Linked DNA regions of Arabidopsis thaliana. The protein of the gene in region 1 interacts with the protein of each later gene in a pairwise test. Each region holds a gene or a part of one and is shown on either strand. Other genes may lie near its edges.

Evidence for each region.
Region 2: the proteins of WIP2 (region 1) and WIT1 interact in a two-hybrid assay, tested with the Arabidopsis thaliana proteins (one study listed by BioGRID).

The regions. Positions count from the first base shown.
Region 1 is NC_003076.8:22,749,889-22,754,773, forward strand, and holds WIP2 (WPP domain interacting protein 2), read right to left. Parts: upstream 2,930-4,885; 5' UTR 2,476-2,929; coding exon 1,605-2,475; intron 1,431-1,604; coding exon 772-1,430; 3' UTR 574-771; downstream 1-573.
Region 2 is NC_003076.8:3,631,768-3,637,486, reverse strand, and holds WIT1 (WPP domain-interacting protein 1), read right to left. Parts: upstream 3,839-5,719; 5' UTR 3,710-3,838; intron 3,529-3,709; 5' UTR 3,517-3,528; coding exon 2,919-3,516; intron 2,818-2,918; coding exon 1,628-2,817; intron 1,528-1,627; coding exon 1,348-1,527; intron 1,213-1,347; coding exon 1,069-1,212; 3' UTR 874-1,068; coding exon of another isoform or gene 563-873; 3' UTR 553-562; downstream 1-552. Other genes in the region: AT5G11400 (Protein kinase superfamily protein), read left to right, coding at 1-60, 145-211, 365-474, 563-873; DXPS3 (1-deoxy-D-xylulose 5-phosphate synthase 3), read right to left, coding at 4,237-4,386, 4,465-4,749, 4,834-5,112, 5,202-5,458, 5,543-5,719. UniProt on the Arabidopsis thaliana protein: Together with WIT2, required for the nuclear envelope docking of RANGAP proteins in root tips.

The DNA.
Region 1 (4,885 bases):
AATTTGAGTTTTGAAACACACCAAATTTGAAAGAAAGAATCAAATCTCTCTTCATTACACTAAGAAAAGAGACCAAACTATGGTAGGTCCAAATTTGTAAAATGATTTGGATATAAATCCAAAGATCATCACATTAAGACACCTATGAGTGAGTCTAAGATGAATAATAACTTCTTCTTTTTTTTAAGTATATTTGATCAAATTGATTATTGGTTTGCAAATCTAAAACTCTTCAAGACGTGGGCATTGTTAAGTGTTGTTGGAACAAACCAACATTAAGATGGCTGTTTATAGTCAAATTGTCAAAAGTCTCCACTTGCAGCTAATGACATAAGACCACTTCTATGTGTCATCACAAACAACACACCACACAATATATTCACACAACTATATTGAATTCTTCTTATTTATAAACTCTAAAGAGCTTACAATGAATATATATTAAGACCGACTCAAATTATTTAAAGGTTATGTGCAAATTTTCATTGTACATGTGAATATCTAAACTTTTTTCACTTGTGTGTTTATATATCTTATCTTCTGTATTTCATTATTTCTTATTTACTAAAGAAATTATGGAAAATGATGGCAAAGTTGACAAAGAGGCAACAATTTTATACATACACACTGACGTCATGACAATGCAGCACGCAGAAACACAAAGTAGAAAGCAAAGAAGAGTTGGGTCTATTGGAGCCAAAATGTTACAATATATATAAATACAAAACTTGTATAAATATAGATAAAAACAGATTCCATCAAACAAAACTATCATGTGGGAACAGCAATCTCCGGTTCTGGTAACAGAGAATAATACAGTATAAAGAGCAAGCCTAACTGTAGAAGAAGACATCTAGTGGTCTTAAATGCTCTCTTCTTCAGGCACTCCACTTCTTGAATCTCTGTGATCTCTACACAATGGTTTTGTAAATCTTGAGCTTGATTCTTTAGATTCTCAGCTTTTGTTTCTGCTTTATCAAGCTTTGATAGCCCCAATGTCTTCTCTTCTTCAATCAGTTTGATCCGTCTCTTTAGGTTTCCCACTGATCTTGAGAATATGATATATTCAATCTCTGCCTCCACCTTTTGCTGGAAGATGTCTTCTATCCCGATCTCTGTTCCTCCGTTACACGTCTCTGAAACGTTTATGGTAGATTCGAGTTCACGGATTTGTGTTTCTTTAACCTCGAGAATACGCTTTGCTTCTTCTAGTTTGATCTCCAGATGCTCTACATTGTTCACCAGGTTTAGTATCTCGGAATCTAGAGAAGTTAATTCCATTTCTCCCATCTTTTCAGACCCAAACCGGTAAGAAGAGCTTGCTTCACTAGCTCCTTCGTGTCCTGCGTGTATGCAACTGCTGCTTTCTCCTCCATCATGCAGTGATGTTATAGGTTCTTCTTTCCCAAGCTCTTGGAATTTTTGAAGTTCTGAAAAGGGAAAAAGAACAGGAGTTTAGTCAAACTCGAAACACAATCATGTTAATATTACACGGCATCATAAGGAACCAGTGTTAGAGTCATTCAAGTTTTAGTTGATTAGGACTACTACAATGCAGCAACAATCAAATTCCAAATGAAAATCTGTATTTATGAAATTGATACCTTTTTGGAGGGCTTCTTGCAAAGTCTGGAAACTGTTGACGGCTACTATTAATGGATCCAGATTGTCTGATGAACCATTGCTCTTGATTTGAGACTCTTCAACACAGTCTCCTTGTGAATAGTCTTCTGTTTCTTCTTCTTCTTCTTCCACGTTATCCTTTCTCTTCGAAGTATGTGCGTCATGATCACTATTTTCATCGTCATAATCCATCATTCTTCTTCCGCCTTGTTCTCTGCTACTCAAACTATAGGAAGCACCCTGCATAAACACAAAGTTGGAGCTTCTTGAGTCAGCAGATTCCATGCTGGAATGAGAGTTTTCCTTCTCAATTTTGATCCTTTCTCCTCTAAGTTTATTACTCTTCTCTACACTACTCTTCCTTTGTTGACTACTATCCCCCGAACTAATCACACTCTTCCCACCCGAGACCTTTCCTCTATGTTTGTCCCAAGAATGACTCATTGTACTACTCCGATCCTCACTGTTATCCGAATCAACACCAGCTGCAAAAGCAAGACCATTGCCATAACTCTCCCCACCCATTACAAAACCAACCACACTATTCACCGAGCCAACAGAACCAACACTATCTTGTCTAACTTCAGGTCCTGGCAAATGCATTTGTTTAGCATTCGGATCAACTAATCCTGACAACACCCTCTTCAGAGCTTTACTATTCTCCATACTCACAGAAGTATCATCCTTAACAAGATCTCTCCTTAACCTCCTCTTCCATTTTCTTAAACCAAATCCTTTTGATATAAGAGGAGAAGTCTCAACCGGTGAATTCAACTCTTTATCAAGATCACCAATCAAACCATTATTATCTTCAACAGATTCAAGAACAGAGCTTTCACTCTCCAAATCCATGACGACGCCACAAAAATACTAACTTTTCACATGGGATCAATCTCAAGACTAAACAACCACCATTCCAGTAAGAACCAGAGGCAAATTCAATAAAACCAAAATACGAAAACAAAAATGAAGCAATAGGGTTCTCTAAATTCAACTCAATTCCCAGATTAATCACATTTACGAAAGCCAATGAATCGAAAGTTTCGAGCTTGACGTACCTAATAAAATGGAACGCAAAACCACTCAAAGGTGAATCCTTTACGAAGAGACCGAAACGAAATTAGAAGACGATTTAAACGATTCGCAGAGATCTCTCTCTATATCCGTTGATTGTGGAAAGTTTCGTTGCGAAAAATCGTTTTTTTTTTCCCGGTTACGATCAAAAAACATTTTGATTCGTTTCCTTTTTTTTGTAATAGAGAAATACGAACGTGTGAGCGACATGGTCGGGACACGTGGCGAAACCGCTGGATACTTCAGCAACTACTCGGATATTTTATGACCGTTCGATTCGACGTGATCTTATCTGGTCGGATCTGGAATTCAACGGTGTGTGATATACCGTTAGGACTTTAATATGATCTCGACTATTTTACTAATTTACCCTCGTCTTTCTAACTTCTTCAGTTTTGACGTTTACATCTTTTCTATATACAGTGGTTGCCGTTTTTAGGTATGGAAACAACGAGACTTATCCTTGAGCGTTTGATAAACGCTTCCACATCGTTTGATAACGAGACTTTTCTACATACAGTATCAATCTTGTTTTGTTCATACGTCACACACTCCAAGATTTTGATGGTAAATTTTTTGTTTTTGTGTGTGTGTGTGTGTAATGTGTATGTTTTTAAAGTCCCTTATGATTGTAGATAAATGTGAAAATGTGTGGGGTAAATAAATAAAAAGTCACAAGTGGACTGGTCTTGGACCAATTCCCACTGTGAAATCAGATTTCAAATGTTGTGTCAGTGTACACATACATACATGCACCACCTTGAATTAAAAAAAAAAGATAATTACTCGATTATGAGGAGTTTATCTTACAAATTACAATATACTAAAATGTTATTGATAAGAAAAATTGTCAAATACTACTAGGTTACTACTTATGTTATGTTAGTACTATTGTTAGAAATTTAGTTCATAATCACATAGTGGAAGGAATTTCACTTACTTAGAACCCAAAATATGTTTTACGTAAAATATTCTCTTGACATTTTTCTCCTATTAATTGCAGCAATGATAGTATTATATGATTCAATACTCAATATAGTACAATGTTTGGAGTTTTCTATAGACCACAAAATACAAACAGTAAATGACAAACAACCAAAGTACTAAGAAAATTGAAAATGGTTCCCTTTCTTCAATCCTACAACCTCTTTTAAGCTCAAAGTTCAATGTCTTAAATCTGACTCTTGTCTATTTAACTCTCTTAAATCCAATGTAACCCATGTTATATTTATACTTCTCTAATAACTCGATCTTAAATAAAAACTGGAGTCTTCTTGGTAAACTAAAGAAGAAAAAAAAACTCATTAAAAATTTCCAGAAAATGCAGAGGAGGTTGAGAGAAGAGAGAGAGGAGAGCTAAAAACAAATGACATAAAGGAGAATCCAAGATTATAAATTTAAGTTAATTATAAAATGGTTTTTGATTAAGTGGGTGATCATTATAAAATGACATTGGTACATGTTTAGACATTAACCATCTCCAGGCTGCTTCTCTCTTAACCATTTCTTTAATCACTATTTTAAAAACAAATTAATGTCCATAAGCACTTTCAGATCCAACTCACAACTCCAGATTCTTCTCCCTCTTCATTATCACAATCTTCTGCTCTTCCTCAAAAAGAAACACAGAGAGAAAGATAGACGAGAGAGACAGGCTTGGTAATGAAAAGATATGCAGGGGAAGTGACACGTCTTTTTTTGCCTTGTGTCTGAAAAAGATCAAACAAAAGGGTAAGTCTTTAAGAAATCATCTTTAAAGATTTGACTAATATGTTGCTTTTTCATTGTTGGTCCTAGCTAGAGAGTAAAAAGATTCAATCTTGTTAATGATGATGAACATTAGACCACAAACTCAATGTAAAGCAATGATTTTTCTTCTGACCCGTGACCTCTCCATTGTTGCAGAGACTCTCTGAAACTGGCTTGGTGTTGTTGGTCAAATCTGAAGTAAGAGGAGGAGGAGAAATTAAATAAAGAAAAGAAGAAAACACAAATTGGGTTTCAACAGTGTTGTAGAAGAGGGACCCCACAAAATGGAAGAGTTAGATACATCACATGCAGTTTCTCAGATTTTACCTCAATCTCATTGAACTGCATCAACTGTTGCATTCATGTTCTGACTCATCTCCTCTCAGTCCCACTCACTTCAATATCATCTGTCAGAGAAACACCATTATGAGATTCATTA
Region 2 (5,719 bases), about 19 Mb from region 1:
CATTCTTCTTGGTATTTGAATACTCGCACAAAGGAAGTTTGGACAGTCACATTTTCGGAAGTTAAGATCTTTTCTAGCTAATGGGTCCATTCTAAGATATAGACAACTATTGCATTACCTATAGTTTTACGTTTCCCTCAACAGAAGAAGAAGAGGCATTGCCATGGGAAATACGGGTTAAGATAGCCATTGGAACAGCTCAAGGTCTCGCGTTTCTTCACTCGATCAAGAACAGCCCCCTAAACCGAGAACTCAGGATGCATAACATTATGCTTGACGAGGTGGTAATTGTTTTATTTCCATCCTTCTTCTCTCTTTTTGTTTATGATCTTAGAAATTAATATCTAAGTTTGGATTTCATCAGCAATACAATGCAAAAACTGTTCTATCTCGAACCAACCAAACGAAGCTTGGTAGATGAAGGTCTCAAGAGGGGAAGATTTACATACCTATCTCCTGAATGGGGATCGTTAGGTACACGAAAGCATTAACTTTCGTTTTACAAATTCTGAAAAATCTTTCGTTGTTCAACGTTAAGACAATTGTGTAATGTATGTGTTAGGTATTTTGGATATGACGACCGATGTTTACATTTTTGGTATGATCTTGCTTGAACTTTTAATGGGTTCCAAGGATAGAAAAAAGATTAAGGAAGAGCAAGGCTTAGTAGATTACTGGACCTCATCTTTCTTGCCAGATAATTATAAGATTGAGGAAATAATCGATCCCCGACTTGGGAGCGATTATTCTGCGAATGCGGCGACACAGATGGGCACACTCATCAACCGATGCACAGCGCATAATACAAAGAAACGGCCATTGATGCAACAAGTATTGGATGGTCTTAATCATATTGCAGAGATTAAGGACTAATGTGTAGAGAGGTACTAATACTTGACACTGAAAAAGATATTGTAATAACACAAAATACCAGTGTCGGGGTTAATTATATAGCAGATTTTCTGTAACTGGGTAGCCAAAAAGAACTAAAATATAATCTGTCATTGTAAACTATGACAAAGAGAGTACAAAACTGGAGACTGAGATTTTGGAAAAAGTTAAAGACTCTTACATGTTTTGCTGGGATATAACATAAGCTATCGACGATATTAAGATCACGAGTATTGCAACGAGAATGTGTTTGAACCTAAGAGCTCCAACATCTAATCTCCTTACACTTCCAATATCTGATTTTGAACCTGTTTCTTCCTCCTACAAAAAGGTGACCACGGTTACTAACGTCAAGCTTAGATTCATAATATTCGATTGTTGGACTAAAGCTTAATGGTATAACTCACTTAGATGCCAGCAAAAGATCAGATTTTTTGTAAGGTAGAATTATGTTACCTCTGGATTAGTTAATGAAATGAAGGTGGCTTGAAGTCTACTTCCTTGATGGCAAGAAGAAGCATTCTGGTCCGACTTTGGTGAAACTTCACTTCCATTGCCACTTTCCATATAACCAGTTTTTCCAACCTTTTTCAACTTCACCATCAACACACAATTCTCTCTTGACAGGTTAGTTATCTGCAAATAAGTCACTATATCTAAGAATCCACTGTGATGATGATGAAGCTACAAGGACATGAACTAACAGCGAACTGGGGTTTTACGAATATGGTAATACCTGTTTATGAAGTCGTTCTCGTTCAGCAGCTAGTTGCATGACCAGTTTTTTCATGATCTTGTTATGTACCCCGATATCTTTGGCGGTTCGCAATTTTCTTTCTTCTGCTTGCTGTAAATATTTCTCCCCTTCTTTCAATCTACCCTTAAAGAATTTCAGTTCTTCGTTGACCTCTGCGTTAGACTCAGATACCATGATCAACTTCTCTTCGGTAATGTCGGCCCTGTTTTCAGCCTTCAAAACTTTTGATTTTAGATCCTCGATCACATCCTCCATATCAGAAACAGTAGAATATAACAAGTTCTGCTTTTCTTTACTTGCTTCAACAGCTGCAACTGCATGTTCTAGTTGTAGATCTGAGTCCCTCAAGTGTTTCTCAAGCGATGCTAACTTATGTATAGTGAAGCCCTTGTCTCTGAAATTCCCCAACTCGTCTTGAAGCTCCTTTTTGCTTTCTTCTAGGATTTTGCACTTGGATTCTGTTTCCTCAGCCCTTGCTTCAGTTTTGGCTAATTTATCTTTCAGTTCCTCGTTGATACGTTCAAGATCTGTTATCAGAGCACCAGAAGTAGCATCCGCATCTTCTGTTTGAATCCCATATTCATTCAGTTGTTCTTCAAGGGAGCTAACTTTCTCACTTAATGTGGAATTCTCAGTGTTCAACAAAATCAATTTTTCTTCAGCCTCTTGCAAACTCTCTTTTAAGCCTTCTGTTTGTGCCACAAGAAAGTCAGCAAGTCTTGCATTGCTGCTATCAAGCTTGTGCAAGGCGCATTCCTTAGCTTCTAAACGTTCCTTTGAATCAACAAGCTTAGACTTCAAGTTGTCTTCCCGCTTAAAAGAGCCACTTAGATTGAACTGAAGAATCTGGAGTTTTCCAGACATCTCCTTTGACGTTCCCTTAAAGACTTCAGCAGCATTATCTGCCTCAAGCCACCTGGAGAACGCATCTTCGGTTACTTCTTCCATGTAGACAACATCCTGCTCAGAAGAATACAGTTTCATCTCTAGTTCTCGTTCAGTATTTCTTGATTCACTTAGTTTCTTCTCAAGTTCCATCTCCTTAGCCAAAGATTTCTCAAGCATCCTTAAAACATTCCTTTGCTGATCAGCAGTCTGCATATTGATCTTAGCGCTCAGATCACCAAACTCACCATCGTTTTGAGACACTGAAGTTTGCCCTCCAGACCCTGCAAAAACAAAGTTATATAGTATTCATTAAAGCCTGAAATTTTTCTCACCAAGTGATCATCACAACAAGGTTAAAAAGAAAGCTAGATTGGTCACTTACAGCTTCCTTGTTCATCCAAACCAGAAGATAACCTCTGAAAGTTAGAAGATTGCTTCTTCATTTCCACTACTTGTTCCATTAACTGACCCAAAGATTGTTCAGTATCATTCAACTTCCCTTCCAAATCCAAGAAAGCTTCTCCATCATGTTGAAACGGAGATATCATGACACGGGCGCTTTGAATCTCGTTCTGGAGAAAACCAAGAAGCGATTCAAGTTCTTTCACCTCTGAATTGAGAATTGAAGACAAGAGATCAAACTCCAATGCCTTCTCAGCAGAATCATCATCATCATCAACATTACTCGAAGGCTCTTCTTCATCTTCTTCTTTCTTAGAAACAAAAGACTCAAAATCATTTTCCCTCGTGCCGAGTTGCATAGTAAGAAGACTAAGATTGACCAATTTCTCAGAGACAAAAGCAAAATCCAATTCAACTTTTGTCAAAACTTCGCCTGCACTTGAAAGTTGAGGATTCATAACTTGCCCAGTAAGCGAGAGATCTTCAAAAAAGCTTTCTTTCGTTGAGCTTGGCTCAGGTACAAGGCTGTCGTTGTCATCGACAGAGACAGTTCTATCATGTTCCGTTTCTGTTTCCATCTTTCAATATAACTGCAACAGAGAAAGTATAATCACTTTTGTCAAGTAATTGAATTAAGAGATCGGAAACAATAGAGGTTCTGCTAAATCACAAGAACTTTTCGATTCCTGAGGAAATCTAGGTAAAAGTTCCGATTTTTTACTTGATTCCGATCGAGATTGAAGCAAAATGAATGAAAAGGAGAAAACTTACAGTTAGAAACGAACGACACGACGATTAAGATCAAAGACGCTTCCTTTAGAAGGAAATGATCGAGAGATACAGAGATCGAGAAGAAGAAGAAGAAGAAGGACTCGGATTTGTAATTAAACGAATATTGTTTGACAGTAACTCTTTACTAATTTTTTAAGATGCTTTTATTAAAAAAAAACTCGAGTATCGAAAATACACGTCTCTGTTCTATATTTTGTTTGTTTCCAGATTTGGGACATGCGACTGTTACACCAAATAGACTTGACAACAACAACAACAACAACAACAACAACAACAACAACAACAACAACTAACTGAGAATATGAAAACTGAGATACCGCCTAAAAAGTAATTGAATTTATTTTAGTCAATTCTCAACTCTACATTTACAATACATAGCAGATTGCTATTCCAAAATCAGGATATCAAATGGGCTCTTGAATTCAGAATGTATTATCTACAAATTCTGTTTAAGAAACTCCTCTTTAAGTCTCTTGTGAAGGTAAATCCCATATGAGAAGGTTAAGCTAGCTCATGAGAAGCAATGCTTCACGAGTTCGGCCCAAAAGACTCAAAGCGGTTGCTGCTATGTGATGTCCAGTTAGCCCTGCAAGAGCAAGCTGCTCCCTAGGCGATGCTTCTTCTATGTAGCCATCCGGTAACACAATGGGTCTCCACTACACAATGTTAAGAGCAAAATTACAACTTAAAACCAAAAACAGGTGAGAACATGAGGTTTTGATTTGTCTCTCTACCTTGATATTCCCATCGAGCTGGCCATCGAGGGCTATGAACTGCGCCACATGAGAACCAAACCCTCCAACACAGCCTTCTTCGACAGTGATAAGGAATTTGTGGTTCTGACAAAGATCACGCACAAGCTTGATGTCTAGGGGTTTGCAAAATCTTGCATCAGCTACAGTCACGTTCAAACCGAGTTTCGAGAGAAGCGAGTGAGCATGAAGACAATTCTGAACCATCGCTCCATAACCAAGTAAAGCCACATCTTGACCTTCTACGAGAACTCTTCCTCTTCCGATCTACTCTAATATGATAAAGCAGTTCTTGTGTCACCACGGTCTGTTTTTGCAACCAAAAGATTTGAAGATTAGATTGGAACTTACTTCAATTGGTAATCCAGTGGGGACAAGATAATTCATGTTGACGATGGAGCCTCTAGGGAACCGGAAACATACTGGGCGGTCAGTGACATAAGCAGCAGTTGCAACCATATTTACAAGCTCATCCTCATCGGCTGGAGCCATGGCTATCATGTTTGGTAAGGATGACATGAAAGCTATGTCAAAAGCTCCACACTGCACTGGACCATCGGATCCAACAAGCCCTGCGCTTGTAATAACAAATCGCACCGCCTTTCTCTGCCGATCTACATCATGGACCACCTAAAGAAACCATCAAAGACACTAAGGCCATTTGCTTGTAATAAAAACCTTTTAGAACAATTTTATTTTGTGCTAGAGGAAAGTGAAACCTGGTCATAAGCTCTTTGTAAAAAAGCAGAGGGAATAATACAAAATGGCTTGAGACCTCCAGAAGAAAGACCAGCAGAGAATGTGACAGCATGCTGTTCAGCCATTCCGACATTGAAAAATCTGTCTGGAAATCTCTCCTGAAATGTAAGAAGTGACGGATCCATCTCCATTCCTGCATGAACTACAACAATATCTCTATCCTTTTCTGCCTCCATCACCAAAGCCTCAACAAAGCAATCACTGTAAGTGCGTCTGTCTGAGACAAAAAAAAAAACTACAAAGTCAAGATTTTGGATAAGCATATATTCTCAGAAAAAATAACATAACCAGACAGATATACCTTTGACCATGATGTTCTTTACGGTTTCTGCATCTCGGTTTCCCTCTGTGATCACGTGGACCAACACAGGACCCATTGAATCTAGAGAAGATACTTCTCGGAGAACACAAACTAGATCTTCAATGTTGTGTCCATCAACAGGACCAATGTAGTACAAACCAAGTTCTTCAAAGAGAG